Linked DNA regions of Xenopus tropicalis. The protein of the gene in region 3 binds, or shares a complex with, the protein of the main gene of each other region. Links are inferred from orthologs where the notes say so. Each region holds a gene or a part of one and is shown on either strand. Other genes may lie near its edges.

What was found.
Region 1: the proteins of g3bp1 (region 3) and caprin1 are in contact, whole or in part, in a crystal structure (PDB 8TH7), measured with the Homo sapiens proteins. The link is inferred for Xenopus tropicalis from reciprocal best matches to the Homo sapiens genes G3BP1 and CAPRIN1. Residues at the interface, in NP_005745.1 of Homo sapiens: Glu4, Lys5, Pro6, Ser7, Leu10, Val11, Glu14, Phe15, Arg17, Gln18, Thr21, Leu22, Met29, His31, Arg32, Phe33, Tyr34, Gly35, Lys36, Gln58, Lys59, His62, Leu114, Glu117, Asn122, Lys123, Phe124, Tyr125; in NP_005889.3 of Homo sapiens: Met363, Gln365, Met366, Gln367, Gly368, Pro369, Tyr370, Asn371, Phe372, Ile373, Gln374, Asp375, Ser376, Met377, Leu378.
Region 2: g3bp1 (region 3) and elavl4 share a complex: the UniProt entries of both Homo sapiens proteins name them as parts of the TAU mRNP complex. The link is inferred for Xenopus tropicalis from reciprocal best matches to the Homo sapiens genes G3BP1 and ELAVL4.

The regions. Positions count from the first base shown.
Region 1 is NC_030680.2:15,334,075-15,345,150, reverse strand, and holds the start of caprin1 (caprin-1), read right to left. Parts: upstream 7,086-11,076; 5' UTR 7,005-7,085; intron 6,827-7,004; exon of another isoform or gene 6,776-6,826; coding exon of another isoform or gene 6,728-6,775; intron 5,790-6,727; coding exon 5,652-5,789; intron 1,717-5,651; coding exon 1,654-1,716; intron 913-1,653; coding exon 826-912; intron 341-825; coding exon 102-340; intron 1-101. UniProt on the Homo sapiens protein: mRNA-binding protein that acts as a regulator of mRNAs transport, translation and/or stability, and which is involved in neurogenesis, synaptic plasticity in neurons and cell proliferation and migration in multiple cell types.
Region 2 is NC_030680.2:95,687,417-95,698,448, forward strand, and holds the start of elavl4 (ELAV-like protein 4), read left to right. Parts: upstream 1-6,013; 5' UTR 6,014-6,052; coding exon 6,053-6,076; intron 6,077-11,032. UniProt on the Homo sapiens protein: RNA-binding protein that is involved in the post-transcriptional regulation of mRNAs. Plays a role in the regulation of mRNA stability, alternative splicing and translation.
Region 3 is NC_030679.2:16,830,630-16,841,498, forward strand, and holds the start of g3bp1 (ras GTPase-activating protein-binding protein 1), read right to left. Parts: upstream 6,860-10,869; 5' UTR 6,788-6,859; intron 2,310-6,787; coding exon of another isoform or gene 2,291-2,309; coding exon 2,196-2,290; intron 687-2,195; coding exon 605-686; intron 527-604; coding exon 353-526; intron 167-352; coding exon 76-166; intron 1-75. UniProt on the Homo sapiens protein: Protein involved in various processes, such as stress granule formation and innate immunity. Plays an essential role in stress granule formation.

The DNA.
Region 1 (11,076 bases), on a different chromosome or scaffold from region 3:
CATCTGGGAGGGCAATGGCACCCCTAGTGGTCATTAAAGTCCTAAACCTTTATCAAGTGGCAATCAATAAGACAAGGCAGGCAGTGGGTTTTATGTCGTACCTCACAGATGTGTCTCTGTCAGGATCCACCAGCTTGTAGAACTCATCCAGTAGTGTCAGCTCCTCCTCCGACACCACAGGGACCCCATTTAACCCTTGCTTTAAGTCGTTACGCACTTCCTCATCCCCCAGTTTATCCAGAGCAAACTGGAACTCCAGCACTGTCTTTAAGCGCTTCTGTTCGGCTTCTTCCCGCATGAGCTGCTCGCGGCGGGCGGCTTTCTTGGTGGTTTTCTGGATCTTTAAAAGCAAAGGAACAGTTTCCCTTTATATGGGGCTTTGTACAGGTAACATTTACTGAGCTCCATTTTGCTCTTAGGGCGATTACAGCTAACAGTCACTATTATAGTTCCAAAATGTTCCAAATACCTGTGCTGGGTGCCAATACCAATTCAGCCATGACTTAGGGGCAGGAAGAAGCTTTGACAGACTGTGCCAGCACTAGCAGCCATGGGAGAAGGGGATATAGCAGCGGTAGTATCAATAGGGCCACTTAGGGCCAGGAACTTTAGTGACTGACAGAAAGGGTTCATTCTGGGTAACATTTAATAGCACCATGGACCAACCTATGGAAATCTAGAGGAGCTCTGATGCCAATTGCCAGTAACTGCGTTGTTCAGTGGATCAGGACACGGCCCATGAAATGCATTAAACTGCAACCAACTATTGGATGGGCTCATCCCAATACTGATAATTGGAGGTTAAAGAGAAATAAAACCACTTACATCTTGACCCAATGCCATGAAATTCCTTTGCAGTTCACGGGCAAATTCCATGCTGATCACCACTTCTTGATGTTTTGTCACTGCATCCTAGGAGGAGAGGGAGGAATAAAAATGTAGTCAGTAACTCTGAAACAAAGCCAAATCTCACTCCTGTACCAGTGAGGGAAAAAAAAAACGGTTTGGAGAGAGAAATTATGTTTTCAAACAGTTGGGTCCCTACTAGACAATATCTTCTCTTGGAATTTTTATGATGTTCTACAAATCTATCCATGCTTTTGGACCAACTAACCCAAAGGAACATCACAAGGCAATGCATTTTGGGTTATGTAGTTCCTGCATGCCATCCATAAGCTGTGGAGAAGTGGTTACAGTTTGTAATATCAAATGTTTTAGTCCCTCCTCCCCTGCCTGGATTTCAAATTATGCTGAAAGAGAAGAACTGTTTTGCAGCTGGATTTTGGCATATAAAATGGTATTTATTTATTACAGTGATAAGGATATTAGGGGTTGCTGTGTTGTGTGGGGCTCAATGAGTTTGGATTCAGAAGCTGGAGTTCCCCTTTAAAAAATACAATGTATTTTAATGTACAGTATATCCTATAAGAGTTCATATAGACATTATCTATATAAAACAGAATGATATGGGTAGTACAGAATCCCCTTAAAGGGGGATTTTATTCAGTTACAGCTTGCAAACTTAATAAAAACATTATGGCCTCTGCTCAAACAGTTCCATCTATACAGTCTTTGCCTGGACAGTGTGTACAAAGCCATGGAGCCAGCGCACTTAGCTGGCATTAGTGTAAACATTTTAAAATGCATCTTTACCATTTGGTCCTGATTTAAGCGTTCTCCCTTGTTTAGCCGATCCTGGTAGTCGTCCAGCTTGCCCTACAGAGAGAATAAGAATGGATTTAGAAATAGAAACAGGTACGTGGGCGACATAAAAATGATAGTAGGAAGGATGTTGCAAAGGGCCTATAAACGTCTTTTTGCGAGGTCAGCAAAACCAGCAGCGATGCAGATTGTGTACAGCACCACGTGTGTAGCACTGGCAGTCAAGCCCCCAGAAAAACCAAGCCACTTGGTCCATAATCTGGCTGTGATGGAGGATGCAAAGCTCATAGGCCCATAGTGTTAGTACTCAATCAATTTGGATTGCTATATAGCAGATGGGCGGCCTGATGTAGACTAAAGGTGACCATACATGGTTGCTTGGTGAGGTTGCGAGTAGATCTTCTCCCAATATTCCCTACGGGTGGGCGACATCAGGCTAATTTGGTCGTTTGGCCCTGGGGCCAAATGATCGAATTAAGAAGCGGGTATAGGCGCCAACGATCCGATGGAAAAGTCAAACCTGCCCAATGAAGATTTGGCTGCTTTCAGGCCAGATGTCGGTCAGGAAGGCTGTTAGTGCCCATACATGGGAAGATAAGCTGCCGAATAGGCCAGTGTATGGCCCCTGTAACTAGCGGCCCCACAATGGATCCAGTCTTCCTTGCACTACACAGTATGACAAATAATGCCATTAAAAAAAGATCAATACAATTAGCAGTACTAATGGGAGTGTGTGCTCAGCAGATAATAATGCCTCTGCCGCCCGTCCAATGTGCTTATTTGTCTGTATGCCATGGTGTAATTCTAAAAGAATTATAATTGAATGTATGGCTATGGCAGAGGGCACTGTAGCTTGTGAATGGAAACTCCCAGGTAACACTTCCAAGCCAGAGTTTATATCTCTCAATAAAATAAACCTTGTACATGATATGAAGCACCTTGCGAGGGCTCAGTAGTGAGGAGTCTATAGAGGCAACGTCATGGTACGAGGCTCTGTATTGGGAAACCAGTGAGCAACACTTGCCAGCACAGGCATTTCTGAACTTTGCTCATGCCCTGCAGTAAGGATGGGAAAGATGGGAAGATGATGCAGCAGAGAAACCCTGACCTTGGAGCGAGTGCAGAACTAGGGTAAATGAAAGTGAAAGCGTTGGTTGGGATGCAGTCGTTCCCCTTAGAACCAGGAACTACAAATGCGGCCTCTGGGCAGAGCAGGTAATGACACCACCCACATGGTGCAGTGTAAACATCACTCTCCAGCTGCACCTCCCAGTTCCACCAATAAAACCCAAGTGCCTCGAGGGATGTTGGGCTCTTAGTAAAGAAGAACTGCCATCCTGGGCGACGAGTATTCGAATACAGCCACATGCAACGGATCTTACCAACTTGCTGGGATTAATACTTTTGAAATGTGCGGAGCTCCGGACTATGCGACCATTTCCTTCCGGTGCTGGCCACGCCCCCCCCCCCCCCGGGATTAATACTTTTAATGCTGGCCGCAAGGCGATCAGCAAGATGCAGGAGGGGGTTGTACATACAGAGCTCATTAACGCCAAACTAAGTCAGCTGATGCAGCAATATCCCTGGACTGTCACAAGGGACCCCTGGGTGCTCATGGGTAACGTATTAAGTGGAAGAGAAGCGCCAATGTGGGGGGCCCAAGGCTAGCAATTATATTCACTGAGGGGGGCCTAATAATTTGCCACTCCCAGTAATGGGGGCACTTGGGCTAAAACACGAGTAAAACACAAGGTCACTCAGTCTTGCCGACCGTCAGGGCTCTGTGTTTACATTCATACAGCCAATGTATAACTTGCTCCTAAAATCTGTTCAGTGTGAGGGCCATGATTAGGGGTTTATTAAGAGCCACTGTAACCGACAGCAATTGTTGTTCTTTGTGAAACCAGATATTCCGAGTGCCTGGTGAAATTCCTCATGTTTTCATTAACAGTGAAACTTTGTAACCCGAGTAAATCATACAACTGGTTGTGTAGGTGCGGAAAGCAGGACTCCCAGGCAATCCGGCAAGGGCTCAGCGCATTGAACAGAAAGCAAAAGATTATTTATCTTTAGTCACGAGGAAAGAAACAGCCCTACCCGATACTGTGATTGTAGCCATCTACCACTAAGTCTGGGTGCATGTCCAGCACATACTGAAGTCACACTGTGCAAGCCTGAAATATTGTGCCATGGACAACCCTAGTGCCTAAAGCTGGCTACATGGGTACCAATGTTATTGTAAGGAATCAATGCACCAATGGCTATGGGGGGGGGGGGCTCACCTATGCCAGCCAACATGCATGGGATCGGCAAGCCATCAAAAATACAAGGTACATTTGTAGGATATAATTGGTACATGTATGGCCAGCTACGTTTGTTAAAATATTCTCTCTATGGCTAGCTGGGGGTTTGGGGCTCAGGCAGGTTTCAAAGTCATCTGCCGATACACCATGTCTTGTAGATTGTAAGCTATTTTGGGCAGGGCTCTCTTCACCTCCTGTATCGGTTATTGGTTGCTTTATATGCTACTCTGTATGTCCAATGTATGTAACCCACTTATTGTACAGCGATGCGGGATATGTTGGCACTTTATAAATAAATGTTAATAATAATAATGTCAGCCTGTGCATGGTGCGACAGCAAAGGGGAGCGTTAACAGTAGCCGCCACTCCTTTACTCTTCCTGCGGTTTTAATCATTTTCGCTCTTTGCACAAATGATTGGATCAAAAGAAAAGCTGCCATACTGAGCATGGTCCCCTGTACACTGTTTGATCTGCTTGTGGGCTAGCCAGCGTGTACCCAATCAGCCAGCATTTGACTCTTTAAGATGGCCATATATGGGCAGATTTTAGCTGCCAATTTGGGTCCTTTAGAATGATTTGGCAGCTTATCAGCCCGTGTATAGGCACCACTCATGGGCCAGAATTGGGCAGATGTGATTTTTCCATTGGATTGGGAGCCGCATCAGCACGTTGATGCGGCCCCCGATCAGACGGTGCCTTTGCCCATCATTATAATTAGATTGTTTGGCCTAGGTCCAAACGATAGTTAGCCCAATTATGCCCACCTTTAGGCGGGCATATTGGGAAAAGATCTGCTTGCTTGGCAACCTCGCCAAACGAGTGACTCTTCCTGTGTATGGCCATCTTTAGTGTGGCACAGCAGTTAGGCTGCAGCCTTACGGGGCTGACTCTCTGCCTGCAGATAAATGAAGAGAATTTACCCCTACACTTCAAACAGCATTTCCACGTTCCACTGCTTAGGCTCAGGTGCAGGCATACTTGTGCATTGCGGAGCCAAAATCCGCTCAGTCTGCCTGCACAAAGGCCCACAGTGGCTCCGGGTGCAAGCACATCTGAAAGTTGTTTGGAGCATAGGGGGGAATTCTTGGGCCCACATTTATTCACAGGCCAAAAATCAGCCCCATGTTGCTTAGCACTAACAGTGCTTGGGTTCTAGGTTTGATCACAGCCAGGGTAATATCTATAAGGAGTGTGTAATTTCTGCTAGTGTCTGGGTGGGTTTGCTCAGGGTACTCCGCTTTCCCATCACACAAACACATACAGACAGGCTAATTGGCTCCTGATAACCATGACCATAGGGACCTTAGATCAGAATATCCATCTGCTAGGGCAGGGACAAAGATGAACAATGGCTATAAAGTGCTACGAAATAAGTTGGCACTACATAAATTAAAAAGAATAATTGAGTTAGTTCAGAGTGTAAGGAGGAGAGGGAAACTATTGACACAAATAGTTGTGTTTAGTAGGGCTAATTTATATAGTGTGCAACAGCAGTAGAAAGCAAGGAGGTAAACGGCATAAACAGGGCAAGGGATTAGATTACTCGGCCTGCCGGATGATTAATGTGCCAGCAGTCCCACAAGCTTCCAGTGTCAGATCAGGCACAGCTGGCTTCCTTGGTGCCTCTCAAGTTATCCCGGGCCCCAGCCTTCAGCGGCACTGGCTAAAGCATTAGGAGCACAAACCTTTTTCTTTTCCAGATTTCGCAGCTTCTTATCGATGATCCCCAAGATCTGCTTCATGGCTTCGCTCTGCATGTTGCACGTGCCGGGAGCTGCATCACTGGAGCCCGGCACCGCTTTGCTGCTGGTGGCTGAGGGCATCTGAGAGAGGACAAAGATCAATGTTATACATCAAAACTACTGGGAGCTAAAGATCCTACATTAAACTAACGCTCGGACTTGAACAACAAACACCCAAACACTGAAGATCCTAATGAATGAAACACAGGAGCTCACAATGGGACCTGAACGGTACAGCTGGCATCACACTAGCCCGGGCATTACTTTCCAACACAACAGTGGGGTAGTTAGACCTATGGCAACACTTGCACCTATGGCACAGAGGGTGTTTCTCTGCCAGCACTTTTTTTTTTTAAATAGAATCCACCTGTCACTAGCACTACCAGCAGATCCAGCCACAAAATGCATTCACGCTTTCTGGCTGTATCGCCTGGCACGACTAGCGACAGACACATCCCATGTAACCAACGTGCAGGCACTTCTCTGCCAGTCGAGATTTATTTGGTTAGGGTCCTGTCCCAGGCAATGTTCAACTGCACCCTCGCCCTGACTGGCACCGTATAGGTATAGGTAATATAGGTACCTGATGGCCACCCCCCTAAACCTACCACCTTAGACAGGGGCCCTTGAATATGTATATATAAATACAGCCCACCAATGAGCCATAGTCACCTGGCAAAGCCGGACCCTACGGTACAGAGCAGCGGATCCGAAGCCTTGTGTTCCCACTTTAATATGTTTTGGGGGCAGATATCCCTATTTAATCCAAAGCACATCCATAACCCCCACCCCAGAACCCCCCTAAAACTCCTAACCAGGAAAGATGGCTCCTTTGTCTGAAGCATTAGTTTAAGGGCAAACAAACTAGCTTTATTCGATTGGACATAGGCCTACAGTTCTAGGCTGGCTGCTGGATCTGCCATACTTCTGCCCTAGGCTGAAACTAACTACAATGTACATAGAGACGTATGGAACAGCGCTCCCGGTGGCAGAACGCTATAAAGCTCAATCGTTCCAACCTGTCCCCGATCCGGACGGCGCCTCTTTACGTACCACACACGATTCATATCGCCATAAGTTGCCGCTGGGCGTTCTGTCGCTTTAACTATCGCGCCGGTAGTTGGCGACTAAACCCGCTAAATGTCCCCTCCCACAACCGCCGGTGACGCTTTGGTCTCCGCCCTCTCCCTCCCGTGAAGGAAAGCCGCCCTTCCTTTGTACTCCCGGTAAGTGTTTCCCGCCACCCTTCCGGTAACGGGAGCTTCCCGTAGCCCCGCCTCCGTCCCACTCCCACACCTTTCAGTGTCTGCCGGTACAGGGCTTGAGCGCTGGTCGCTGTGTGATCTTAAAGAGGAGTCGCTGCCACTCCGCCACTACCCGCCGCACCGAGCTAATGAGGCCGAGACACAGGAAGCGGAGGGATTTTACACTCGCAGGGCCCTCGTACCGGGCTGCCCTCCCAAGTGCCTGATTCCAGCCGACTCCTTACTTTCTCCGTAGCGCAACCAAACCTCACACGAACTGCTTTTCTTTCTCTCAGAAACGGGGTAGTGCTTACACTTTCATCTAAATAGGCAAACCTGTCCAAATGTGTGCGGGTTCTTCAGGCACCGCAAGGCCTACCCAAACGGACAATGGAGAGATCCGGCAAGCGTGCTGAAGGGCCTCACCGCGCCCCAAGAGTTAATTGTGGGCTGTCCGGCAAATGCCTGCCCAGAATAGCACATGGGAGTGCGATGCACTCAGCATGGCATGTTCTCTTGTTACACAGGAGTGTTGCTCATAGGCCTGGCATTACAAAAAGAAAGTTTCAAATGTTTATGTTATGTAGGCACAGGATTTAATGATGTTAGTAGTAATAAACTGAGGAGTTCAAGTTCATTGTCAGGCCGTACTGTTACTTTCAAAATCCCATTGTTCCTTGATGTGTAGCCACGGTTTTCACTAAACTACTTCATACTTTGCCACACATGGAACACTTTTCTTCATTAAATTTTCCCATCCTCACCTTTCCCCACCCATAGAGAGCTGCAAAATACTTTCCTTTACATCAGGGATCCCCAACCTTTTATACCCCTGAGCCACATTCAAATGGAAAAAGTGTTGGGGAGCAACGCAAGCATGAAAAAGGTTCCTGGGGTGCCAATAAGAGCTATAATTGGCTACTTAATAGCCCCTATGTGGACTGACAGCCTATAGAAGGATCTGTTTGGCATTATACTTGGTTTTTATGGCACCAAAACATGCCTCCTTACCAAAAATTCAAAAATAAGCCCCTGCTTTGAGGCCATGGAGAGCAACATCCAAGGGGTTGGGGGGCAACATGTTGCTCACGAGCCACTGGTTGGGGATCACTGCTTTACATGCTCAGTACTGGCTGAAGGGCTACGAGTTGAGACCAAGTCCCAGGGTTGGACTGGAGGGTGCAGGGCCCACCGGGGCTCCCACCCCAGGGGCCCTACAGGTGCCCCCGCCGGCCGCATCCCCTAAACCCCCCCAACTTCCCATAGGGTCCTCCACGGGGCCACTGGGGCCCACAGGGATTTCTTCTGGTGTCCCAGCAGCCCAGTCTGACCCTGCCAAGTCCTGACAGATTCTAAAATCGGCCCTGGCATTTAATGTACAATATTTTATAAATAAATGGACAAAATAGCCCCCACAGACCAAATAAAAAATGTAGTCTATGGCATCTTACATTCGTATTAGTCCAGGCAGGGGGTGTCTGAAGTGAAGGGAATTGACAAATGACTGCTGCATCATTCAGTGCAGGTTTACAAATTAAGCTGCCCACACACACACTAATATAAATTGTACAACACAAAGTTTCATACAATTTTCGGACCATGTGTGATTTCCAAATTCTCATCCCGACAATTTTCTTACCATGGCAATTGGTCTTTTAGTCAATTGGACAGGTTGGAACATTTCGGTGGGGCAACTATAATATCTGTTGCATGTGTTGCCTATCTGACGATCTCCTACAACCTACAATGTATTTCGGGGGCCATAACTTTTTTATAATTGTTGTCTGGCAATTATTAATGGCAAAAACATTGTCAGATTTGTTATTTTTAGGACTTTAATCCTGCAATTTCAGTCTGAATGTTAATTCGATATCGGAATGTTTGTCAATAGATGACTAAAATCTAAACGTGTATGGCCCCCTTTAGTTTGCTAATTTGGAAATCCAGACAGGCAGTGTTGGGCCAGACATCACTGATGTGATCATGCCCACCCCCAGAATCACTGTCAGACCCCTGGTAACATCAGTCCCGCCCCCTGCTCAGGTTTAACCACCGGCAAAGGTGGCGACCCTACCTACACCTTGTTTGATGCCAATGTAATTAAAGGGAAAGAAAGATAAGAATATAGGCTAGTATTTTTTCCAGAAAAGGTGGCAACCCTGGGGCAGGATAAAAAGCTGTATAATAAAAGTCCTTATCAAATTAAACATGAAACCCAAATTTATTTTTATATTAACACATCCAACCCCATTATTAAGGCATTTAAAAATTCCAGCTGTCAATCATATATTGCCTGCCCCGCCTCTATGCCTTAGGCAGACACTTACTTTCACTTTCCATTCAGCACTCACTTTCTCCCTCCCTTCTCACCATCTAACTGCGTAGCAAGTGCATGGGCATCAGGTCCCCCATTCTGGCACATACACAACATTTTGGGGTGATACAAAGCTTGCCTTAATAACAGTGCCCACAAAATGGCACCTGCCTGCTGGCTGTGACTGTGTAATTCCAAGACTGAAGGAAACAGGTCCCCTTTAAACTAGTGTTACATTGGCTTTATCTAGGTTTGTAGAAATATGTTAGGGGCCTGGTCAGTAAAACAACAGCTGAGGCAGAGTATTGAGAACAAAACAACTATGTATTTGCTGGTAAGTTTAAAGGGGACATATAGGATAAATGGGAAAACCGAATAATATACGGTGCTGGTTTCACTTTGGGCTAAAAATAAATATTATCTGTAAAATGGCCCCTTTATTGGGGCTCCCTACAGATCCTCTCAGGTCCCTTGCCCTATTCATTGAAGAAATTCTGGACCAGGGGGTATACTGTCCCTTTATTAGAAATGCTATAAATAGTTGAAAATAACAAATTATTTATTACTTCATAAAAGTACATAAAAACACTTTGGGATACGAAATAATGTCTGGACCTTGATAGAAGTGGTAGCCTGACACCCATGGGACCCTTGATGCATTATTGCACAGACAGAACTACTGACAAGGCCTCTTCCTGCTCTTTGTTTGCTAAAGCCCTGCCCATGGACTCTGCACGTTTCAGACTTGAGGGGGCATGTACGGCATGAGTTCTGAAGCCCCTTCTCCTTCTCAGACTGGGCTGGGCCAGGTGTGGATCAGGAAATTCCCAACTGGGCCAGCACTGCTTGGTATGCATTGCGTCTAGAGCTAAGTTGGCCTACATTGATATACAGCACTGACCTTAGGTTATAGGCCGGCAACTGGACTCGGTATTGAATAGCACAGCAACTCCCAGACAGACATTGCTCTGATTCTAATAAGGGATTGAATCACTCTCCAGTGTACTATATGTATCCATATGTATGTAATGGGGCATAGGGGTGATGTCAGGCAGACCTGTCTTGGGAGTCAAAATAGGCCCAAAAAATAGTGACTGACTATGGCATCTTACAGCAGCCCCTCTGGCATTTGCTGGAACCCACAGATTTCCGGTCAGGGCCTGATGTCATGTTATAATAGGCGTTGTATACAAGTCAGTGAGCGCACATAACCAGTGGCACTGTATGAAACACTTGTTCCAACAAATAGACCCCTGGGAAAATGTGGGAGTCAGCGAGTGATGTGACTCATGAGCATAATGTTCTGTACACAATTTCTCTTTGCTTCAGTCTCTAATTTTCTTCCATTTGAGCACAAAGCTGGTTATTTGCCTCTTGACTGTTCGTTTTGCCTGGAAACTACCTGTTACCTACCTTTTTTCTCTACTATAGAGATACCCTACATAAATCAAGGATTATAAAAAACATCCAGTATTATTATGAGGTTATCGCTCACTATAGTTGTCTGATTGGCTCCATAGGGATGCCTAATGCAGCCGTACTGCATTAATGCTGACTGGCCTGACTGCCTGATGTCTGGTGTGAAGATAATGCTTGCACTACTATCTTATCTCTAAATGATGGATAGGAGGATGGAATAGCTGATACATACAGTACTAATTACTGTGCAGATACTGGCTGGGAGTTAGAAAATACTTAGGCTAGTGCCCCATTCCCAGCCTGTGAAAAACGCTGGCCGAGAATCAGTCCCTACGCTGGCGCCAGCCTGCTACCTTGCCCGCACAGGGAAGCATTGTCTCCGGCCTGTGCA
Region 2 (11,032 bases), on a different chromosome or scaffold from region 3:
TCCAAAATGCTTTTCCCTTTGTTGCTGGTGGAAAGGTCTATGCATTACTTCAGTTTTCCAAAGTTGCACAAAGTTGCCTGTACGAGGCAATGCTAAGAATTAATGTTATTTACACCAAACTCATATCAAAACTCAGATATTTAAAAGTGCAAAAACAGTGGTAAATTGAAAGGTGGACAGTGCAACTTGCATCTCTAAATGGCACAAGCAGAAGTACTCTATAAATGAGCCTTTAGGGGCACAGTTTTTTACCCCATAGCAATGGTGTCTGTACTTCTCATAAATAAACCCTACCATCCCATTCGAGACAATAACAAGGAATACACAAAAAAAGCACTAAAGAGCAGAACATTTTGATTTTCCATGTCAATTAAAAATATTTCTGGATAATGGGTTTCCAGATGACGGATCCCATGCCTGTACATTGTATGTATTTTGACCTACAGCAAGCTGTCAGAGTAGTTTCAATGACACAGTCTGGTTCTTGCTGATGACCAATGTATGAGACAGTATCTTGTTATGATTGAAAAGTCCTGTACACCAAGAGATATTATGTCCCTCACAACCCCTATGCACTGTAGCTCCAACTGATTGTACACAATTCAAGAGCCAAAAACAAAGCTTTAAATGGACCACGGTTGATGCCAACAATCTATGATTGGCAATCGGTTTGATGTGCACCAGCCTACAGTGAGGATCTGCATTCTGCACTGCTGGAGGAGTAAACTAATTTGCTTTTTTCAGCATGTGTATATTAATGCTCAGAATAAGATCTCACTAAATATATGCATTACATTTTTTAACAGGCGTAAATCAATAAGCAACATTGAAGCAGTGAGTCATGGTAGTTAAAAGGATGTCTGTGTTATGCTGCGACACTCGTGAAATGAGCAGTTCCTAACACAGAGTCTATGGCAATAGTGTGATATAAGGGGTTGTGGAGAGGCAGCAGCAGCTGGGATTGCAAACAGTCAATATACCTGTATCTGCACATCCAACCAAGAAACTCTTTCTCCTCAAGGTTATTTGCATGTGAGCGCTCAAACCACCTGGTGGTGATGCTTTGAATTGTTACTTTGAAAGAATACTTTTAACACCAGCCATGTTTGTAGCAGTGTAACCTTGCAAGAGAGCGGTCCATGCTGCTGAATGCATTTGTACTCTGTGTGCTTGATCAGGGAGAAAATCCAGCTCACTGAATAGAAGCTCTGATGTGCGAACTCTAGGGAATCGTCATATTGACTCTCTTGGAAAGAACAATTCGGCCAGACCCCTTGCAGACGGAGCTTAGCAAAGGCTTCATTTTGTTACTCTCTGGCAAGATGTTTGAAATCACCAGGACCCTTAATGCTGCTTTATTAAATAATGAGGTAACATTTTGGCACTTTGTTATCCGACTCTTAAAATTTTCCATGCTGAAGTATTAACTGCAATAATGAAGAATGATTACATTGTTGTTGGTTTTTTTTTATTGAACGAAGATGAATTAGCCTCATTTAAATGGTAATTTTATGATTTTACAACAAGAAAAAAAAAACAAGATTTTTTTTCATGAAGTTCAAACCTCTCTGCAGCCAAAGGATTCATCAGCGCAGTCCGTTGTTGGTCCTTGTGACAGCACAGAGGTTAATGAGTGCGTCAGTCACCTGTTTTTGTTCTGTGATAGTACCAAGTGGGGCTTTAAAATCGCCCAGAGTAGGTGTTTATTAATGCTGAATTGGCTTGTGGTGTAGCCCATCTGGACGGTAAGAGATACTGCTGATTGCTTGTGATATTAAGATGTCTGTAACCTTTGGGAACAATGCGTGCTGGAGTCAGGCTAAGAGATACGCCGTGAACCCATCTCTTTTACCGGCATCTGCTACTAATGACTTACAAGGCTGCTCATATAGGGTAAGGAAATTCAGTTGTCCTTTGATTTGATTCTGGTTGATAAGCTTTGGAGAAGTTTACTTTCCTTTATGTGTCTTTGTATTCTTGTACTGTGATTTTTATTTTTACCCCCTCTGGATGAAGCTTGGAAGTCTGCATACTTTTCACTTCAGCGCTTGTGATGTAGAGGGACACGTCACTTTTCTGGAAATGCAGTTACAAGTGCGTTCTGTCAATCTGATGAAAAATTCTTCCTTTGTGATTTGTTTCTACTTATGTCTGTGCTCTGAAAGAGGTGTAGAAGGCAGTGGGACTGCTCTATAATTTGGGATGGCTCATGGCAGAGTCATTGGAGCGATGGTAACTATTGCTGGTATTAACTATATCACTCTGCGTGCTTGCACTGCTTGGGAAAGTTACAAACTGAAAGGGAGACTGAGCTGGTTGGCTGTATGAAATACAAAATTTTCCTTTGCATGCAGAATATATTCTCTATTAACAATTCTGCACTCAAAATAAGCATCATCCTTAACTATATTATATAGACTTTTGAATAGACATGAAACACATTTCTCCATTATTGTCCTACTACACATACAGTTACCTTTGTATACAACCCTTTGAAGGTCACATTAATACATTGTCAGGGTACTTTTTCTTAAAGGTTAGTAGCACTACACATGCATTTCTTGTGCATATATAATAGATATGAACTATAGACTGTTTTTATAAAAGCAAGAATTGTTATCTGTGAATATAACTTTATAAGGAAACATGTCCATACCGGTATAACATAATCAATTTGCGTATGTCTCCTTGTTCTGCCCTGTATTGCTAGTAAGATATACATGCATTCAGCTATTGCAGAAATGATTATTTTTGTGACCTTGAAACAGGATAAATCAGGATATTTGCTGAGAAAGAAGATGAGTATAACAACTGTTTCTCTTATCTGCCAAATAAATTCAGTGTGTACAGTCAGTGTATTTATACAGAATCTCTGTTTTGCCTTTTGTTGTGTCCAATTATCTTGCACTCGGTGTGTAAATAGATGTATACATAAGGAGGACAGATACAAAACAGAGGGGAGTTGACAGTACCATTTTGTTATTATACAAGTGCAAAATAGCTATTATAAAAACAGCTTCATAGTATACATTGTATTGGCCACCTGAGTAGTTTATGGATAACTTTTAGGCTGGGAAGATAGCGCCACCACTGTATGTGCAGATATAATACAGACACTTAACCCCGTGCTGATCCTACTGCTTAATGCATCTGTGCCACTTGGGTACTAGTGAAAAATGGAGATGCTGCAAGAGAAAGAAACTGTATATTGTTATACTCATTCCACCATGAAATTGAGATTTAGCAGTGCCTTCCCCTAACATGTTTATAGTAGAAGTGAATTGACTACCCTGTAAATTAAACCTGTGAGCTCCTAACAGACACTGTTCTCCTCTGTGGGATTGGTTTCTAAATTCCTCTGCTTCATGGGACACTTGGTGATTGCTGGAGGGTAGGCATTGATTTTTAATATTCTGCTCAGCCATGGAGACAAAAGAAACATATGGATATACCAAACAACAGAATTGAATTCAAGCTATTTTAAAAATGCTCCAATTTTGATGTATAGGATTTTAGTACAGAAAAATACTTGTTTCAATGAGTCTTAAGCAGTATTGATCAACACAGGCACTCCAGATGGTTTAAAGTCAGCCTGACAGAGCATGATGGGAATAATAGTTCCCAAAATCTAGAGTTATGCTCTCTTAACAGTTCTCCAGTTTAATCTTTGGTTGTCACTATGTATCTTACTAGCCATACTATAGAAATGGAAAATATAGAAGAATCTCTAATCACGCACAATCTTCATTGGGCTAAAGAAATGTGACCTCTTAGCATGTGGACAAAATGCTTTAGAGAGTGGTGTCCATTTTATGTTCCTGTAATAAATGGGGACTGGGGCACTTGTGTACATTGCAGAGTTTGTGTATGTCAAGGAACTTTATGACAATTGTCAAACTGCCCCAAACTTCACTTAGTTTTAAGTTTAAAATACATTTTTCATTATATTACTATAGATATAATGCACTGAGTTGCAATGCTGAAGTTGCTAAAGGATTACATTCTGATTATAAGATGCTGAGATCTCCTACCTTGAAATAGATAGGGCCCAGTACCTGGAATCTTACATACATTTCCCCTAAAATAGAAAACAACAAAAAAATCATATCCCAGAGAAAATGGCAAAGCTATTTAATCCTAAGGCACACAATGGTGTCCAGCATTTGGCCACCCACATGGACTACTATTCCCAGCATCCCCTGTCACTGAACTACAATTCCCAGCATCCCGATAACCATTAGGGTGTTACATCAGCAACCGCTGCAGGCCCAAAGGTTGAAAATCACAGCCCTGAAAAAAACTCTGAGCTAAAGGCCCAGAGTTGGAGGTGCATTTGTTAACTGCTTGGGTGCCAGGGAGCTAAATTTCTCTAAATGTAAATTCCCTGCCACATAATTTAATTATAACTCTTGGGGTTTTCCTTTGAAAATGTTTAGAAGTGCATATGCTTAAAAAGAAATGGAAAACAGGGTTGTTGATAAAAAAAAAATACATGGTTGTTGCTGGTGGATAGTATCTATATAACAGTTGCTAAAGTAATAGCCTTCCAGTTATTGTGAACTACAATTACTGTAATATTATTGTCACCAACCACAACACACACACAATTATTTAATTATTTTACTCACCCTTATATATATATATATATATATATATTTTTTTTTTTTTTTTTTAATAATAAAGTATAGTACAGTCAACAGCCATTTGGACTAAAACAGTTTACAATGATATGCTTGAGTCTAAAGGATACAGCTAGTCATTATTTATGTGATGCAAGGAACATTTCATTGTTAATCCCCCAGCCACTGGCCCCAGGGCTCTGGAAGCGTCTCATGTCAAAAGAACATCTAAAAAGCCTGCCTGCAACAGCAGACAAGGAGTTAAGATCTTCAGTCTGCTAGAAGCCAATTTCAATAGCACCTTATATAGCCCCACCTTCTCCAGGCCAGACAGCCAACCAGACGCTGGCTTCATGTGACAGATAGTCCCATAAATGCATGCAAGCATCTAGCCAATTTTCAAGCAAGGCTCAAGCCTATTTTCATATCTACACCCTACTTCTGAGAGGCATAACCACATTCTCTGCTTCTCCCTTTTCTCCCTTTGTTTTTTTTCTTTTTTTTTTTTTTAATTTTAGATTTTTGTTTTCTGGTTTTATTTATTTATTTTTGTTTGTTATTTTTGTTTGAAATATTTTAGGCGTATATATCTTTTTTTTTTTCTTGGTGCTCTCTGGATTAGGAACAAACAGAATATATATTATACATTAAACAAACAAAATTATTTCAATAAATAAAACCATCCCGAAGTGTCTGTTGAGAAATTGAAGAGAAATATCGAAGTCCGGCAAGACTCAATTTAATCCCATAAGAATGGTGATGGTACGTAATCCTCTCTTGTGTTGAAGTTCCATTCAGTTTGTGAATCTGTTGTTTCTGTGTCTGCACCTTTTGTGAATATGTTGCTTTACGTTTGGTCTTTGTTGCTTAAGCAGTGCTATTCCGCTTTTTCACTGATTTGACTCCTAGAAATCTGCTGATTAGAAGAAATATAATTTTTCAAGGTCATCTCTATGTTACTTGATAGCATCATCCTTATCAGTAAAACACCTTCAAAGACTGTTGTGTGTCTGTTCATCTGTCTATGCCTGTCCTGGGGTTATATGCAAGATTTTAGTTCTGCCATTGTGTTTTTGCACAAAAGACTCCAGGAACCCAAAAAAATGTAGAAAGACCAAGCCCCCAGAATGTCATCTCGCCTGCTAATTTCAGATGGGCTGCGCGTTCTGTATGGTAATCTTTCATCAGAATGATTTATAGGGACTCGGTGAATGCTGCATATTGTATTTCAGAGTTTCCTGCCGTGACCTCATAAAAAGAGGAGGAGGCTGGCGTGTGTTTGAGCGCGCACTGTGTGTGTGTGTGTGCGCGTGTGTGTCCTTCGTAGCATCGCTTGCCAGCAGTACTGTAAGAAGGAATGTCAGCTTTTACATAACGCTCTTTTTGCTTCTGACATTGTGACAAGCTACAAGGCTCCATCTCTATAGTCACAGATGGAGTGGAATGGCTTGAAGATGGTAAGTGACTTAGAGTGTATTGTATATTTCTATTTTTGTCTAATTTCCCACCCATGGTTATTTCTGAATGTAAGCAGTTATTTTGATTTTGGACCTTTTTTGCCAGTTAGGCTATATTCAATCGCCTTCCCTGCCGCTGCCAGCGTGTGTTTCAACCAGTCTGGGAGGGTACCTTGACAACTATAATGTCAATGCATGTCCATCACAGATTTACTTGATGCTGTGTAATCTTCATTTGAATTACATGAGTCTTTGGACGTGTCAGTTGTCGCCCCCCCCCCCCCCCCCCCCAGTCTGCCGCTGAGAGCTTTGTGCCTTTAAGCAAAAACGTCTGCCGCAGAAAGCACATATGTTAAATAAGTACATCTGTCCTTTCTTTTCTTTCCCCAAACCTAGACCATGTAACTACTTGACGTTCCTTTTGTATGGGTCTCTCACAATGAGTGTAAAGTGTCACACTTAAATCTTGCAGTCGTGACCTGCATGGCATGTCATTGAACACTGCGGGGACACAGGCGTAATGTACTCCCCTGACTGCAATTCAGACACCCCTGAAACCTGCCGTAGTGTTTTGCACCGCAAAACACTTTCTTGTTTCTAGAAATTGAGGCTCCGTTCTTCCCCACCCAGCTTTCCCATTCTTAAGGAATCATCTTTGTCTGTCTGCTTGTTTTGATGGCTGTAAAACAAACAAGATTAGACAGAGCAGTCGAACTGAAAGCTATAGCTTCAAGGGGAAGCTAGTGAAAGGTTGCCGAGGAAACAACCAGGGAGGGAGCCGAGATAGGGGAGCAGGTGGCAATCATTTGGGAATATTGCGAGCGCGTCAAAAAAAGACTGGGGCTACCTCTATTATGCCCTTCTTTGTGGCAGTCACAACTTTAATTATTCTTTACATATAGGTGCTAATTACATTGCTTCCACAGATGTACAGTGATTCGCTGAACAGTATATTTTAGCATCTGTCCGTCCGTAACCAGGGTGCCTCTCTTTATTTCCCTTTTGCCTACAAAGCAAGATCTTGTCCGTTCCTAGAGTGTAGATAATGATGCTTCTTTTCATCTCACATTTGTGCTTGCCATGTGTAAATGGGCAGAATTCTGTACTTTTATTTTTTTATCATGCAGTCACTTTACGGCCAAATTACAGATCTGCAGTCATTTTGCTATAAGAACAAAGGCAATTTCAGTGGGAACACAAGAAGAAAAGAAAATGTTTCTGTAAATGCTTTTCTGTCTTTGAGATCAGTCAGAAAGGAGTTTTAACCACCGCCAGTGATTCTGGATGGAGTGATAAAACAGTCACTTTAAAACACATAGCAGAATGTTTCTCAGATGTAGATGGACACTTTTTCCAGTCTAACCTTTCACAGTTCCCTTTGTTCTCACTGAGTTTTTACCCTGCAATCCAAAAAGAACAAAAAGAAAAAGGTTTCTTTGCATGGAGCTGTCACTTGGCTATGGTTTTTTAAACCCTCGGTCCTCACTACGAGTTTGAGGGCTGAGCAATAAATGGCAATTTATTTACATTGTAGTTGAGTTGTTATGCACTGTCATTCATGGCACATGTGAAATTCAAGGGGATATCATTCTGCACTATTAAAGAATGGTATATATAATAGATGGAATTTAGTGTAAACTTGACTTAATTTGACCTGTGTAGTCTTACAACCACATATACACTTGTGTTTAAGTACTTTCAGATCATAATGTTACTCTTATTTTTGCACCCTGTGTACCAGCTACTAAATATAACACATTATGTGGAAGTTAGAAAACTATGAGCAGCAATTACTCTCTTCTAATCTGCTCTTTGTTAAACCATGAAATATAGTCAAACATCAGTATAGGAGAACAGAAAAACCCTGTAATCGTATGATATACTACACTCTGTTGCACACAATATCTACATTTTTATTTCTATTTAGTAAGTAAATAATGTATAGCCAATAAAGCTTGTTTTGCAATATTCAAGCAGCTATGGGAATGCATGTATTGTTGTTGAATGCAGGTTCCCTTCCAGTCGAGTACAAAGATACAGTAATTTCTGACTTTGATCCTTATTGCAGTGGATCAATGAAAGCAGTGTATACTGAGATATAAATATGTGTGAGTAAATATATAAATATGTATATGTAAACATGCATTTTATAGGCAATTTAAGATAACACACGTTTATATACATATATGCCTACAAACATACATATATGTGTATGTACTGTATGTATGCGGTTTAAGGCGTTTACAGATGTGAATGGGCCCACCAAGAGCTAAATGGGGGTAACTATTATGAAGAACAGAGAACATTTTCATCAATAATGTGCAATGTATAGCAATTTCATTTAGAAAATGTGCTGTGGTGTACTTATTATCAGCATGTAGAAATTCCAGTGTTTCCTTATATGGTTTGAGTAGTTTTACTCAAGTTTTAGCCAGAGAGCCTGATAATATGGTAATTTGTTCCATATTTATCACTTCCTCCATGTCTTTTGTAATCACATTTCCCAGAACTCCCTGAGAAACTGATGATACTGTTCCCTTTTCCGGTACGCTCCATTAGACCTAATGTAAAAAGAGGTAAAATTACCCTTTTCATTTAGCTCCAGTAAACAGTTATAAGTCTGTGTATTGGTTGCCATCCTATCACACACTGACCAACTGATTCTTTTGTAAAGAGAAAAAAATGATTTTAAGTTCTCATGGTCTCATGGTTTGATCACGGTTTCCTTTATTCAAACTTTTCTTCCTGTTTGCCCATGCTTTGTTGTTTGTTGAAACAACGCTCACTTATAACCTATGCAGGAGGTCTGATCATTTTAGATTTCAGATTAAACATACAAAAATTTGTTGAAAAGAGGTAATCAAGAGATGTATAGGAGATGTACAGGAGCCCAATCAAGAGATGTATAGGAGATGTATAGGAGCCCAATCAAGAGATGTATAGGAGCCCATACAGATAACATAGGTATTGTTGTCTTAGTTTATTGTAATTGCTTGCATTGTGCTGAAAATTTTTATACAAAATACCACAGATATGGGATCTCTTATCTAAAAACCTCATATCCAGAAAGCCCCAAATTACAGAAAGGACATCTTCTATAGAGTCCATTTTCAGCAAACTATTCTTGTTTTTAAAAATGATTCCCTTTTTCTCTGCAATATTAAAACAGTACCTTGTACTTGATCCAAGTGAAAGATATAATTAATCCTTATTAGAGACTAAACAATCCTATTGGGTTTATTTCATTTTTAAATTTTTATTAGCAGGCTTCAGGTATCCAAGTTACAGAAGATCCCTTTTCCAGAAAACCCAGCTCCCAAACATTCCAGATAATAGACCCTTTACCTGTACCGAGCTCTATGGAGAAAACCATTGAAAATCACAGGGATGTATTGAAATATGCTGTACAGATGTAGTTGCATCCCACAGATAATATGTTCCCAACACCCATTAATATTTACTCTATGAAAGTTCTTTGTGACAAGCTAATATCTGAGTTGTTTCTTGTGTTACGTTGTAATAAGCCACTATGTTACAACCTTTGGTGGTTTTGTGCAATTAATGATTTTATAGATCCTTTCTATTTTCAAATTATTTCCGCAAATGCTGCAGTAAGGGTCTGCAATGACTTGGACCATTTATTTAATTCGTATGCTTTGGATGTACATTTATATTTTCAGGGATGCGATCTTCTCTTTTCTGGGAAATTAAATCCAATTCCTTTCACTTTCTTTGTTCTGAGAATCTCAGTGTCTCTCAGCAGCCTCTGATTTGCATGGATCCCCACCACCACCACCAAACACACACACGCACACACACCCTTTTGTTCAAATAAAGAGAACATCAGCATGGTCATTTTTTCACAACCTTCATACATTCTACTGGTTAGTTCACTAAGCTCTGTGGTATAGTAGGTCGTTGCCTTTAAAGCTTTTTGCCTTTAGACCCTAAAGTTCCAGGAGCCAATAATGTGTATACTGTATCTGTGTAAGGAATTATAAGAAACAGCCCACGGTGTATCTTAGATATACATGGACTTCTTAAGTTAACAGCCCCTCTAAGCAGGATATATGTATGTATTTATATTTATTTTAGCCTACAAAACAGCTAAGGATACAACACTGTAGACTGAGTACTGCAATGCAGTATTTTTTCAATGTCATTAGGATATTTAGGGGAAAGCAAAAAGCACTTTGCTGGGTAACGTTTCAAAATAATCACCAAATTCCATGTGGCTTTGCCAGATGGAGTAATAAACCCAAGAGATAACATAGCTCCTCCTTCTGCTATTCTATGTCTAAATGTTGGGAAGTGTGACTAATTAAGAAGAGATTGGTTGTATAAAAGTAGTGGGATGAACCAAACTTTTAGTGATGTGGGGTCCTCAGCATTTATTAGCAAAGTTTAATTAACAAAGCAGTTCTGAAATTCTGAAAAGAGATACATAGGTCAATTTGGAGTTCCTTTGTTTTGCTAAGAAATGTATTGTGAACGACATACACTTACTGCATTTAACTTACTGTTTGAATGTATTTCAGCTTCGTGTCATGTGTGCTCATGTAAGTGCATAGAGAGAAACAGACCAACCTATGGCACTGGAACTATGGCCACAAGTCAAGGGAAAAAGTAATTAATTTAAAAGCAAAGGAAAAAAATATTTTTCCCTGGTTCACTGTCTTTTCTAGTCATAGAATGGTGGAAATGGAGGTAGAACCCTCACCCTTGCAGATAAACACACGTGACCTTGAGGGGTGACCTGGTGGATAAAGTGTATAATGCTGAATGTTATATTAACATTTAGAAATATGCAGAAAAGACATTTTTGCAAGTTTTCAAAATTATACATACCATTGGCACTCATCTTACCAAATGACGACTGGTTTTACTTTAACCTCTTCTTCCATTTACATGACCGGTAGCATGGAGAACTAGTCTAACTGTAATATCTTATAGTTC
Region 3 (10,869 bases):
AGCAGTTCTGAATTGTTCTCCAACCTTATTATGAGTTACCAAGAAAACCAAAAGGGCTTGTTTTTACACATTTACCTTCTGGAGGCTCTGTGTCTGAATCCCCAAAAACCTCATCTTGATAGCGAAATATGTCATTGTGGACATAAAACTTGTTTGCCACAGAGCCCTGAATAAGAAAATATTCATCTTAATCACATTCAAGAAAACTGGCAAAAATGACAATTTAAGGAGCATTAACCTCTGACAAAATTCTTCATAGAGAGAAGAGAATGATGCTGCAATCTACCAACATTGGCACATAACATGTAATACAAATAATAATAATACAAGTACAAAAATAAATGCACCTCACCTCTGGTGCCAATACAAATGTCTGCATGAATCGACGCATAGGCTGCCTGTTGTTCGACAATTCTCCCATGACTTGCACCACTACGCCATCATTCAGAGTGGCGTGCGCATCAACATGGCGGATCTTTGTGCGGCAATCTTTGAAATTCAAAGACATTACTTTTTTGTGGATGTCCTGCAGAAAAGGAGAAATGATTAGCACAATTTCTTGTGATCTGACTTTGAAATGGTTATGACTTCAAGATATACTTACAGTCTGCCCATAAACAGCCTCTGCAGGTTTTCCATTGGTGTCCAAGCCACCATGAACATAGGAAGAACTTTTTCCATAAAACCTAACAAAAAAAAAAAAGGGAATTCCTTTAAAGGAAAACTATACTCCCAGAACGAATATTTAACCATAACCAACAGATCATATGTGGCCTATTAAAGAAACTTAAACTGATAACGTCGTTTGGCAGATAAAGACACTCTCTGCAGAGTTTTTAGTGATGACAGCCCCCTGGGCAATGAGCCAGGGGGCTGTCATGTTGGCCCTGCGATCATCGTGTCTGCTTCTTGCTCCCAGCTTCCTGGATCCCATAAAACTATATATATTTGGTATTGGCACGTTCAGGAGACATGGGACTTTCCAAATCAGTTGTATTTTTGTGCATAAAATTTTTGTTTCTGGTATGTGTTTATATTATGAAAAATATGATTTTTTTAAATTTTTAGACATTAAGACTAAAAGTTCCCCCGAGGAAAGGCCCCTAAAGTGAAACAGTGCAAAATGTTAAACTGTCTGGCAATACAAGTTCCTCTTTGACCAAAACGGCTGGCAGTGAAAGGGTTAAAAAACTAATAGAAAAATCTGATGTGTAAACTATATGAAAAATTTGCCATCCAACAAGCCACACCCTGTCTGAGGAAAAAGTGCATGCGGCATCTTAATCCGACAAGAAAATATAATTGTGTCTGACAGACTTGTTTCTCATTAAAACACATTGATGGTGAGATGTAGATGCAGGAACAAAACACACCATCTGTCTGAACCGGTTTACATACAGCATGAAAAATGTGCTGAAAAACTCCCCCTCGGCTTATACTCGAGTCGATATACTCGGACACTGTGCTGTTGCGCACGGGGTGGGGTGGGGGGACAGCACAGTGATACTTAGTATGCAGCGTGGATGGGTGCACACACATGGATGGCACGCATGCTGGCATAAACTGAAGCAGGTAATCGGGTAATTGAACACTATCTAAAATTATTTCAATTGTACTTTTTAAGATGATTTTCTAGCCATGGGGCCCTTGCCTTACACCCCAAAAAACAGCCTCTCAGACTCTGCTTGTAACAATTCTAAAGTAGATTTCCATAGCAAAGAGAGAAGTGCGTGCTAAATCAGTATCAAAAAGACTACATACTTTCAAGCACAAGTATGTAGTCTTCTTGATACTGATTATTTTGCGATAAAAGGAGGTTAATCAGAAATCAATGGCATGATTACAAGAAGGCTGTTATTGTGGCATAAACTTAAAGGCAGGAGGGTCAAAGGGTCCTCCATCCACCTTTCCCTAATCACCTTTTCTAATCTGCAGCTGCCAACATGATATATTTATGAAGAGTTCACAGAGGGTCACGCCGAGTGTCCTTTTATTAATTATTTGATTATTGAAACTTAGCAGTAGCGACTGCATTTCCCACCCTAGGCTTATACTCGAGTCAATACGTTTTTCCAGTTCTTAGGTAAAATTAGGTACCTCGGCTTATATTCGGATTGGCTTATACTCGAGTATATACGGTAAATAAATAAGAATAAAAAAAAAATAAAGGTAAAGCTCTACTGTGTAAAACATACCTGTGGAGAAAGTCTGGTGCCTGGTTAAGCAGAGTATAATACTGCCTCACAAATTCCCGCCCGACAAGCAGGGGACTTGGCTTCTCCATCACCATTTCTTTGGTCAACTGAAATCTAAACAAAAATATTAAAAATATAATTTAGGCCAGGTCTGGGGGGAAAAATGGTTTACAAAATGCAAAAATATAATCAAAGCAAATAATATGAAGAAAGCGATTACCATTACTGGCACAACTATAAGGTCTCTGGCCAAACCAAAATACATTCAGTGATTTCATCAAGAAGCCTTGGGCCATCAGATCAGCAAAGTTTAACGCATTGCCAAAGTGCACAACATACCAATGGATTGGCATGACTGAAAGCACTACACAAGCCTTCCAAATCACTTTCATTTTTTGGCGTTACTGTTCCTTTAAGCAAGGGGCATTTTTAGACGGTCCGTCATCTGTTTTAGTGTAGATTTACCTTAGAAGACAAATCTCATGTGCAAGCACGCTGCCAGCACAACGGTAAAACGTTTGCAGACACATAAAAGGTTAAAAGACGAGTCCACACCTGTTAAATTCTATTTTTTTTTTTTTTACAACAAAACTGTTTTAAATCATTGATAACTGAAACAGCTAAAAATTATATGGGCTAATGTTCTATTAGCTATAAAAATGTTATGGCAATAGGTAACTTAAAAGTTGCATGACAAAAGTTTTCTTTTAAGGGACGATACAGCTTAACAAGACTGCACAGGCTTAAGCAACACATTCCATTAGTGTTTTTAAATAGGGAGGGCTAACATTAGAAGTTGCAACACAGCTTCTAACTTAAATGAATACAAGAAGCCTAATGAGCTTATTACAGTTTGTGACTTCAGCATCTCTAAGCCTGCTTGTCACATGGCTCAGATTAATTACTATGTAACCATGCAATAATGGTTGAATTGTTTCTAGCAACAGCATACAAAGACAACAAAATTCCTCTAAAATAACGCCAAGGAAGTCAGGTCAAAAAAGGTGGAAAACACTAAAGCAAAATAAAATAAGATAAGCTACATTACACATTGAAAGCTTAGCCAAGACAAGCATGACTATTAATGGCAACTGGTAATATCTCCTGCTCACATTTCTTAAGACTGCTAGGAATTCGGCGAAAGCCTATACAAATGCAAATTCAAGGAGAAGGCTGGAAAGCTAAATTAAACTACATGTTATAGTTTCTCTAAGAAGGGGCATATTAGGAAAAATGCAGGAAAATTTCTGTAATATGATTAGTAAAATATCCAAGAGAAATCATGATTGACAGTCGAGTATGTGTGATGAAGTCAGCATAACCAATTGCCACCGAACAGCCCCAGGACAATATAACACTGTGGCTGTAATTTTAACATGAAGTTTCTTGAGAAAAGCCCTTCTAAAAATGATAGTTTAAGTGAAGGCACACCTATAGAGATGTATGTAAATAAAATATGGATAATCTCTATTAACCACTTAGCCACAGGGCTGCACAGCAAGCATTTCCTTCAGTATTGTTATAGCTGCAGTGCTTGAGATACTGCTGCCCGGCTCATACACCTCTCCAACCGCTCCTCCTCTGCCATGCCGCTCTGCCAATCCCTGCACTGGCTTCCCCTACCATCCAGGATAAAATTCAAGCTATTGACCCTCACATTTAAAGCAGTCCATAACTCTGCCCCACCCTACATCTCTGAACTCATCTCTAGGTACCATCCAACCCGCTTGTTACGCTCCTCTACTGACCTGCTCCTCAACTCCTCTCTCATTCCCTCCTCACACGCTCGCATTCAAGACTTTGCAAGGGCTGCCCCCCTTCTCTGGAATTCGCTCCCACAAACTGTCAGACTTTCTCCCAATCTCTCTGCCTTCAAGAAATCTCTAAAAACACATTTATTTAGAGAGGCTTACCCTAATCTAGTTTAGCAATACCCTGTGCCCCACCTCTCACAACTCTGGTCATGCCCATTACCACACCTTGTGTCTCAACCCTTTCTCCTTGTAGATTGTAAGCTCTTTTGGGCAGGGCCCTCTTCACCTCTTGTATCGGTTATTGATTGCTTTATATGTTACTCTGTATGTCCAATGTATGTAACCCACTTATTGTACAGCGCTGCGGAATATGTTGGCGCTTTATAAATAAATGTTAATGTAATGTAATGTAATAAGGTGTTTATATTGTCTGGGTTTACTCGTGTTATGATTAGTAATTGCACAGTGCAGACCTTCATGACGGCTGCTGCAGAACAGCTTAGGACAATAACATGTCAAGATGTGCTTCACCAATATTCCACCAATAAAGTTTCATTATAATAATCTGGTACAGCACAATTAAATGGTATTGAGTATTTCCTGCACAAATTACAGCAGAAACGTGAGACCCACTGGCAGTTAGGCAGGTTCATGAGTGGCAGCAAATTGATCGCATACAGCTCTTGAAAGACATAGTCATAAGACTATTAACCCTTCTGGGATCTAAGGAGCTGTCAAATCAGATGTCAATTTAGATCTGGAACAGGGATGTCTAAATTGCAACAGGTCTTGATACTAAAATTCCAAAACCTTTAAATGTGTCTTTAGAGCCACAAGAATATATCTCCCTTAGCAATGGGCTGCTTTAAAGAGCCTTCCCCTCACTTAACCTAGGCGAATGTCCATCCCGCACCATGATATTGCAGTAGCCCTCACGAGAGAGACTGGGCTAAAAGACTGCTTGTTTATTTCTTCAGCTTATTTGTGACCTTGGTAGTGTAGACTTTACAGTGCTGAACAATTTCATTATAGGCAGGCATTCAAACCTTTGGAGTAACCATGCTGAAAGGGAACATTTAAAAAAAAAAAAAAAAAATAATAATAATAATAATAATAAAGAAAAGGTCTATTAATTGACCCACACAAACATACTGAAGTATAGAAAGAATATTGTTGAAGCACATCTTGACAAGTTATTGTCCTAAGCTGTTGTCCTAAATCTTTTGGTGCACTGCAAAGTATTTTTGCAAAATTATTTACAACCTGCACCCAACCCTAACACATAGTGCCCCAACTATTTTTAGATTTTACACTTTTATTAGAGGGGTAAGGGGAAGTTGAAGAACTAGTGGGGCTTGGAGCAGTTGGGTTGGCGGCAAATTTGGCTCAATACTCACAAATTGTTGGCACGAATCTGTGGTTTTCAGGGAAGCCCACATATCACTACTGCAGAAAAAAAAAAAACCTCCCACATATGAATCACAATAGAGCCACTCCCCTGTAATGGGGTCCTCCTTGAGGTGTACAGGTTGGCAAAGTTGGGCAAATGAGCCTCTGTGGGGAACTGAAACAGTATAAAGAGGTTAAATTCTCCTGTAACAAATCAGATCTTTGGGTAGCACTTCTACCGTGCCTGGTTCTAAGTAAGGCAATATCGCCAAGGATTTTTGCCAATGATATTGCCATGTCATACAGGCAGGTTAACTGGGTCCTGATATAACTGCCCCCACTGTGTAAACTGATATAGTACTTATATTGTAAGCAGCAGTAGGGCAGAAGCTAATGGGAATTGTGTATAATCTCTGTATATCTATGCGTAAATGTGCTGGCACAATAGATACTTAACTTTTAGCCATACAATATTATTCTACAACCTGTGGGCATATGTACACATGTATTGCCACTGCACGGTTCCATTGCTTTAGGCTGACTGCACAAAAGATCAGAAACACCAGAAGTGAAGAGGAGCTTAATGTTCAATCATACCCAATAAGGAGACCCCCAAAACATGGCATACATACTCATTCAAATGGTCAGAATCTGGTCAAAATCAGCCATGTTGGACAACCAAATCTGGGCATGAATGGCTTAAGTCTGTATGTTGACTAAGTTGGAACAAAAACATTAACAAATTCTTCTAAGGGTACACTTTCCCACCTCTGAAATTCTGGCACAGAGAAAAAAATAAATATATATATTTATCAGTAGTCAAGATGGTGACCAATAACAATCCCTGGGGTCCTTCCTCAAAGAAGCCTAACAAAAGAACATACTTAATGTATGGCCCTCTGGAAGCCCCCTAGGCTTCAAACGGAGTCTGACAGTTTTCAGAATGGCTGACCTTGCCATCGGAACCGAAGTTAAAGATAAAGTGAGGGCCCTTGCAATGCAGTAAGTCTGGAGCTCCCATTGAGGGAACATAACTGCATAGAAGTTGGATTAAAAGATAAGACTACAACACAGCCTGAAAGTGGTGGAAGCTGGTAGTAAATCCCTTACTTACTGACACTAACATGTTATGGAATAGGTACTGCATACTTTAATCTACATAGTCCCTAAAGTGCCCCTGTGATGCCGAGTGCCCCTCTCTGCCGACAGTAAAACGGTCCTTTCTGCCATAAAACAAAAGCACACGGGTTCGAATTCATCTTCTCCGTCGCTTCCTTGAGGAGCACACCGCGTCTCTATACCAACCCAATAAAGGCCGCGTCCACCCGAGGCAAAGCGCGCGTTACGTCAAGGAAAGACATGAGGTAATGCAGCGACAAAGGCACCGTGTATCAAAAATATACGCAACGCTCTGATAGAGTAACCTAAGGATGTTTAAGGTCTTCGTACCTGTGAAAGGTCCGGCTTGGTGCAGGCTTGGCGCTCCGTAGAAGCCTAGATAAATTTACACCTCACACAGCGTCGGCACAAGCAGCGGCGTGCTCAGCTGCCGGCTACATATACTAACGTCGCAGCCAAACTTGCTGTTCCTAACTACCCAATCAAGGCGCCCAGCGCAAGCACTTCGGAATCCTATTGGGCTAATAGGCGGAAAATCACTCAGATCGACAACACATAAAACCAATAAGCTAGAGGGAAACCCGCCTATGGTTACAGCCAGCAGCCAAACGCAAAGCAGAATACAGCAGTAAAGACAGCCCTTCTGCTCCTACAAGTTAGCCGAGCGCTTATTGGTCGGAAGATTTCTCAGACACAATGCTAGTGTGGTTGTTGAAGCATGAGGGACCCTGTAACCTTGAGCAGGAAACCCTGAGTGAATATAAAGAGAGGCGGGAAAAATGTGACGCTGGCCAATCCCCGAGCAGATATTGCCTTAATAGACAGGACAGAAACGGGGATTTTCTTAAAGATAAATGTCTACATTAACACAAGGTGGCAGAAAAAAGCACATAATCCTGCCAACAAATATAAAAACAGATAATACAAAATAGTAATCTTAATAGTTAGTCAAATGGAAAAAACAATGGAATTCAGAAAATATTTCATACCTACGTAGGGATCTCCAAAATTGGGCCTCTAGGATGATTCCCCTAGTACAGGCTCCCAAGGGTGGTTTGGGAGGTTAAGAGTTAACAGGGAGTAGCCCTGCAGTTTTAGTTAGCAGCCACTGGGTAGCGCATTAGGTATATAAGGGAATGCAGCCATGTGCTGCTAGGTCTTTCTGCCTGGGACCCCCTCTGGACAGAGGTTAATGACAGGCTAGTGTTTAGATAGTAGATCTGGAGATAATAGCTCACTCTAGGGGGCTGATTTACTAAGACACGAATTCCGACCGAATTGGAAGAATTCCGATTGGAAAACGAACATTTTGCGACTTTTTCGTATTTTTTGCGATTTTTTTCGGCGCCTTTACGACTTTTCGGAAATTATCGCGACTTTTTCGTTACCAATACGATTTGCGCGAAAAAACGTGAGTTTTTCGTAGCCATTCCGAAAGTTGCGATTTTTTCGTAGCGTTAAAGCTTGCGCGAAAAGTTGCGCTTTTTTCGTAGCGGTAAAACTTAAAAGGCGCGACGTTTCGCGCAAGTTTTAACACTACGAAAAAATCGCAACTTTTTGCGCAAGTTTTAACGCTACGAAAAAATCGCATCTTTCGGAATGGCTACGAAAAACTCGTGTTTTTTCGCAACAATCGTATTGGTAACGGAAAAGTCGCGATAATTTTCCGAAAAAATCGCAATCGGACGCATTCGGCCCGTTCGTGGGTTAGTAAATGTGCCCCTAGGAGTGGGAGACAGGTTATTTAGTACGGGTAGTCATCACCCCTACAGGAGTGGGATAGCACTCATAGCTGGAGTCAGGTAAGGAGATTACCTAATCCAGTGGGTGCTTGGGCGTGAGGTCTCAGAGGGGTGTCCGCTTGGCGGGAGTACCAGGGAGAGCCCTAGAGAGGGCCTTCTGGCGTGAGTACCAGAGGGAACCCCAAAGAAGGATCATCTGGCGGGAGTACCGCGAGTAACCCCAGGGAGAGAGGGTCTCCAAAGGGAAGTGTGTGTAACCTGACATATAAGTGTGCTCCTGTATAATCTACTTGTCTGCAAGTAATAAACTACATTCTACTGGTTCAACATCATACCAGTGTCCTGGTCTCTTCGTACAAAGACGATCCTCACTGCCTGGTAAGCAGCTACCCCAAAGGGAAGGGGAAAGGTACCGGGAGTTGCAGGGAGTCCCTGACCAGGGAATACAGTACAGCATTAAGTTCTCAGGAGGGGAGTTACAGTTCAATCTGTCCCTAACCTGGGTGGAGGCACGCCATTAAGTAAAGTAACATCTGTTCCCCCAAAGTAAGTGGGGCTCAGGATCCCTGTTAGCGCCATAAGATCTCAGCAGGTAGCAGCACTGTCACTAAAGTGGGCTACACCTAATTTCTCCATTTACCCATAATATAAATATTTTACACTCCATAAAAGCTCTAGCAAAGAGGTACCGGTAAAATAAAAATAAAATAATAAAAATACCGGCCTCTATATTACCTATTAATTACACTGGTATCATGCTGCACCCCAAATACAAAAACTGGCAACCTTTCTGTAATTAGATATTACCTGCATCACAGTAAAACCATTTTAAGGCCTCCCAAAAATTTTTTAGGGATGAACCATATTTCATCCACATTATTGAAACTGGGGTCCCACTGGTGGACCCATATGATTCGAGCAGTCTGCTTCCACAATTGATATGTTGTTATGGCACAATTTATGCTGGAGAAGAAAAGGGTTTATTAAGGTGACAAGCTGGGTTTCCCCTTATTTTTTGTTTCATTATGAGACTGGCTTGTTATCAATCTTGTCTTGTAGCTAGAGTCCCATAATCCCAATGGCAAAAGTTGATTTGAGGCCTCATCCTTATCATGGTTGCCATTTTTTGGTACAAATGCCAGCCTTTCTGTTATGTTATCTTTCATTCCAGGTGGCATGGGTCGGTAATACCAGCCAGGTGGCAACCCTACTGTTCTTAGATCTGTCAGTCACACACTCATGCTAGGACAGCAGAAAGATGTTTATTTGCCAGATCCCCACATGGCCAAGTAATTGATTATCAAGTAAGCTGGCCATTTAGGTTAAGGTAAAAGGGCTCAAGAACTGCAAAGAGTCCTGCTTGTCCCCTTCTGGCTCGACGTGGAACTGGCATAGCAGCAAAAATTGTGCTGTCTGGAGTTTTTCGATGTACAGGCTGTTGGGGCTGGCAGCCTTTTTATCCATCCCAAAAATTTATGTCTTCACCCAGGGAGCACCCCGATTTCATTAAAATTGAGGGTGACAGCAATTTCAAGATTTAGTATGGGATTCATCATAACCCCAGAAAGATTTACATTTAGCAAATGCCTTGGTAAAATAGAATTCCAACTTTATGTATCCCAGGGGATGGCGTCTACACGTACGTAAATTCCAGGAAAAATTAAAATCTATTGGTCCCTACATGTGGCATTGTGAAATGGCCCCATTACACTACAATGTTGATTTCTTTCTCTTGTGAAAGATCTAAATATTATTTCCCCTGGTTGAAGCCTGTATTTTAGACCCACTAATCAGTGTTTCATGTCAAATTGCTGCAAACTATATTGTCAGTAACTATGGACCTATTGGCCCTGGCACAAATTTTTCAGTTGTTTAAAAAAACATAATAAATAAGTAAATAACTTTAAAATAAAGAGAATGAGAAGCAATTTAGTCAGTGCCTCAAAATTTCTCAAAATGCCTATATGGGTTTTAAAATGATAATCACTATTCCAAAGGCTAAAATTCTGTAAATGGGAAGTGAGCCACAGTGATGACAATACTGACCATTGTATCATTATTATTCTACCTATTCATTATTATAACATTATCAGCAATGCACAAGGACACAGAAAGGTATTCTGCTCAGAAAAGTACAAATGTTACAAAGAGTTTGAGTCCAGAATATCATATATTTAAAACAGGACCCCCCACTTCTTATTGATTTTGGATATGTGTGAACTCAAAGGCCTACAGTAACTACAATAGGGCCTTGATACCTCTACATGTGTCACTTCCCTTGCCCCTTATATTTCCTGCACATCCCACAAATGTGTCTGTAAGATTTCTTTAATTGTGCCCTTAGCTAACAAAAGTTGTATTGACATCTCTCTTATATTTTTGTATACATTTGCAGTTCACATGTCATTGTGACCCCCACAATGACATGTGAACTGCAAATGTATACAGGTATAAGACCCCTAATCCGGAAAACCATTATCCAGAAAGTTCCAAATTACGTAATGGCCATCTCCCATAGACCGTTATATGCAAATAATTCAAGTTTTTAGTAATGATTACCTTTTTCTCTGTAATAATAAAACAATACCTTGTACTTAATCCCAACCAAGATATAATTAATCCTTATTGAGGGCAAAACAATCTTAATGGGTTTAGTTAACAGTTATATGA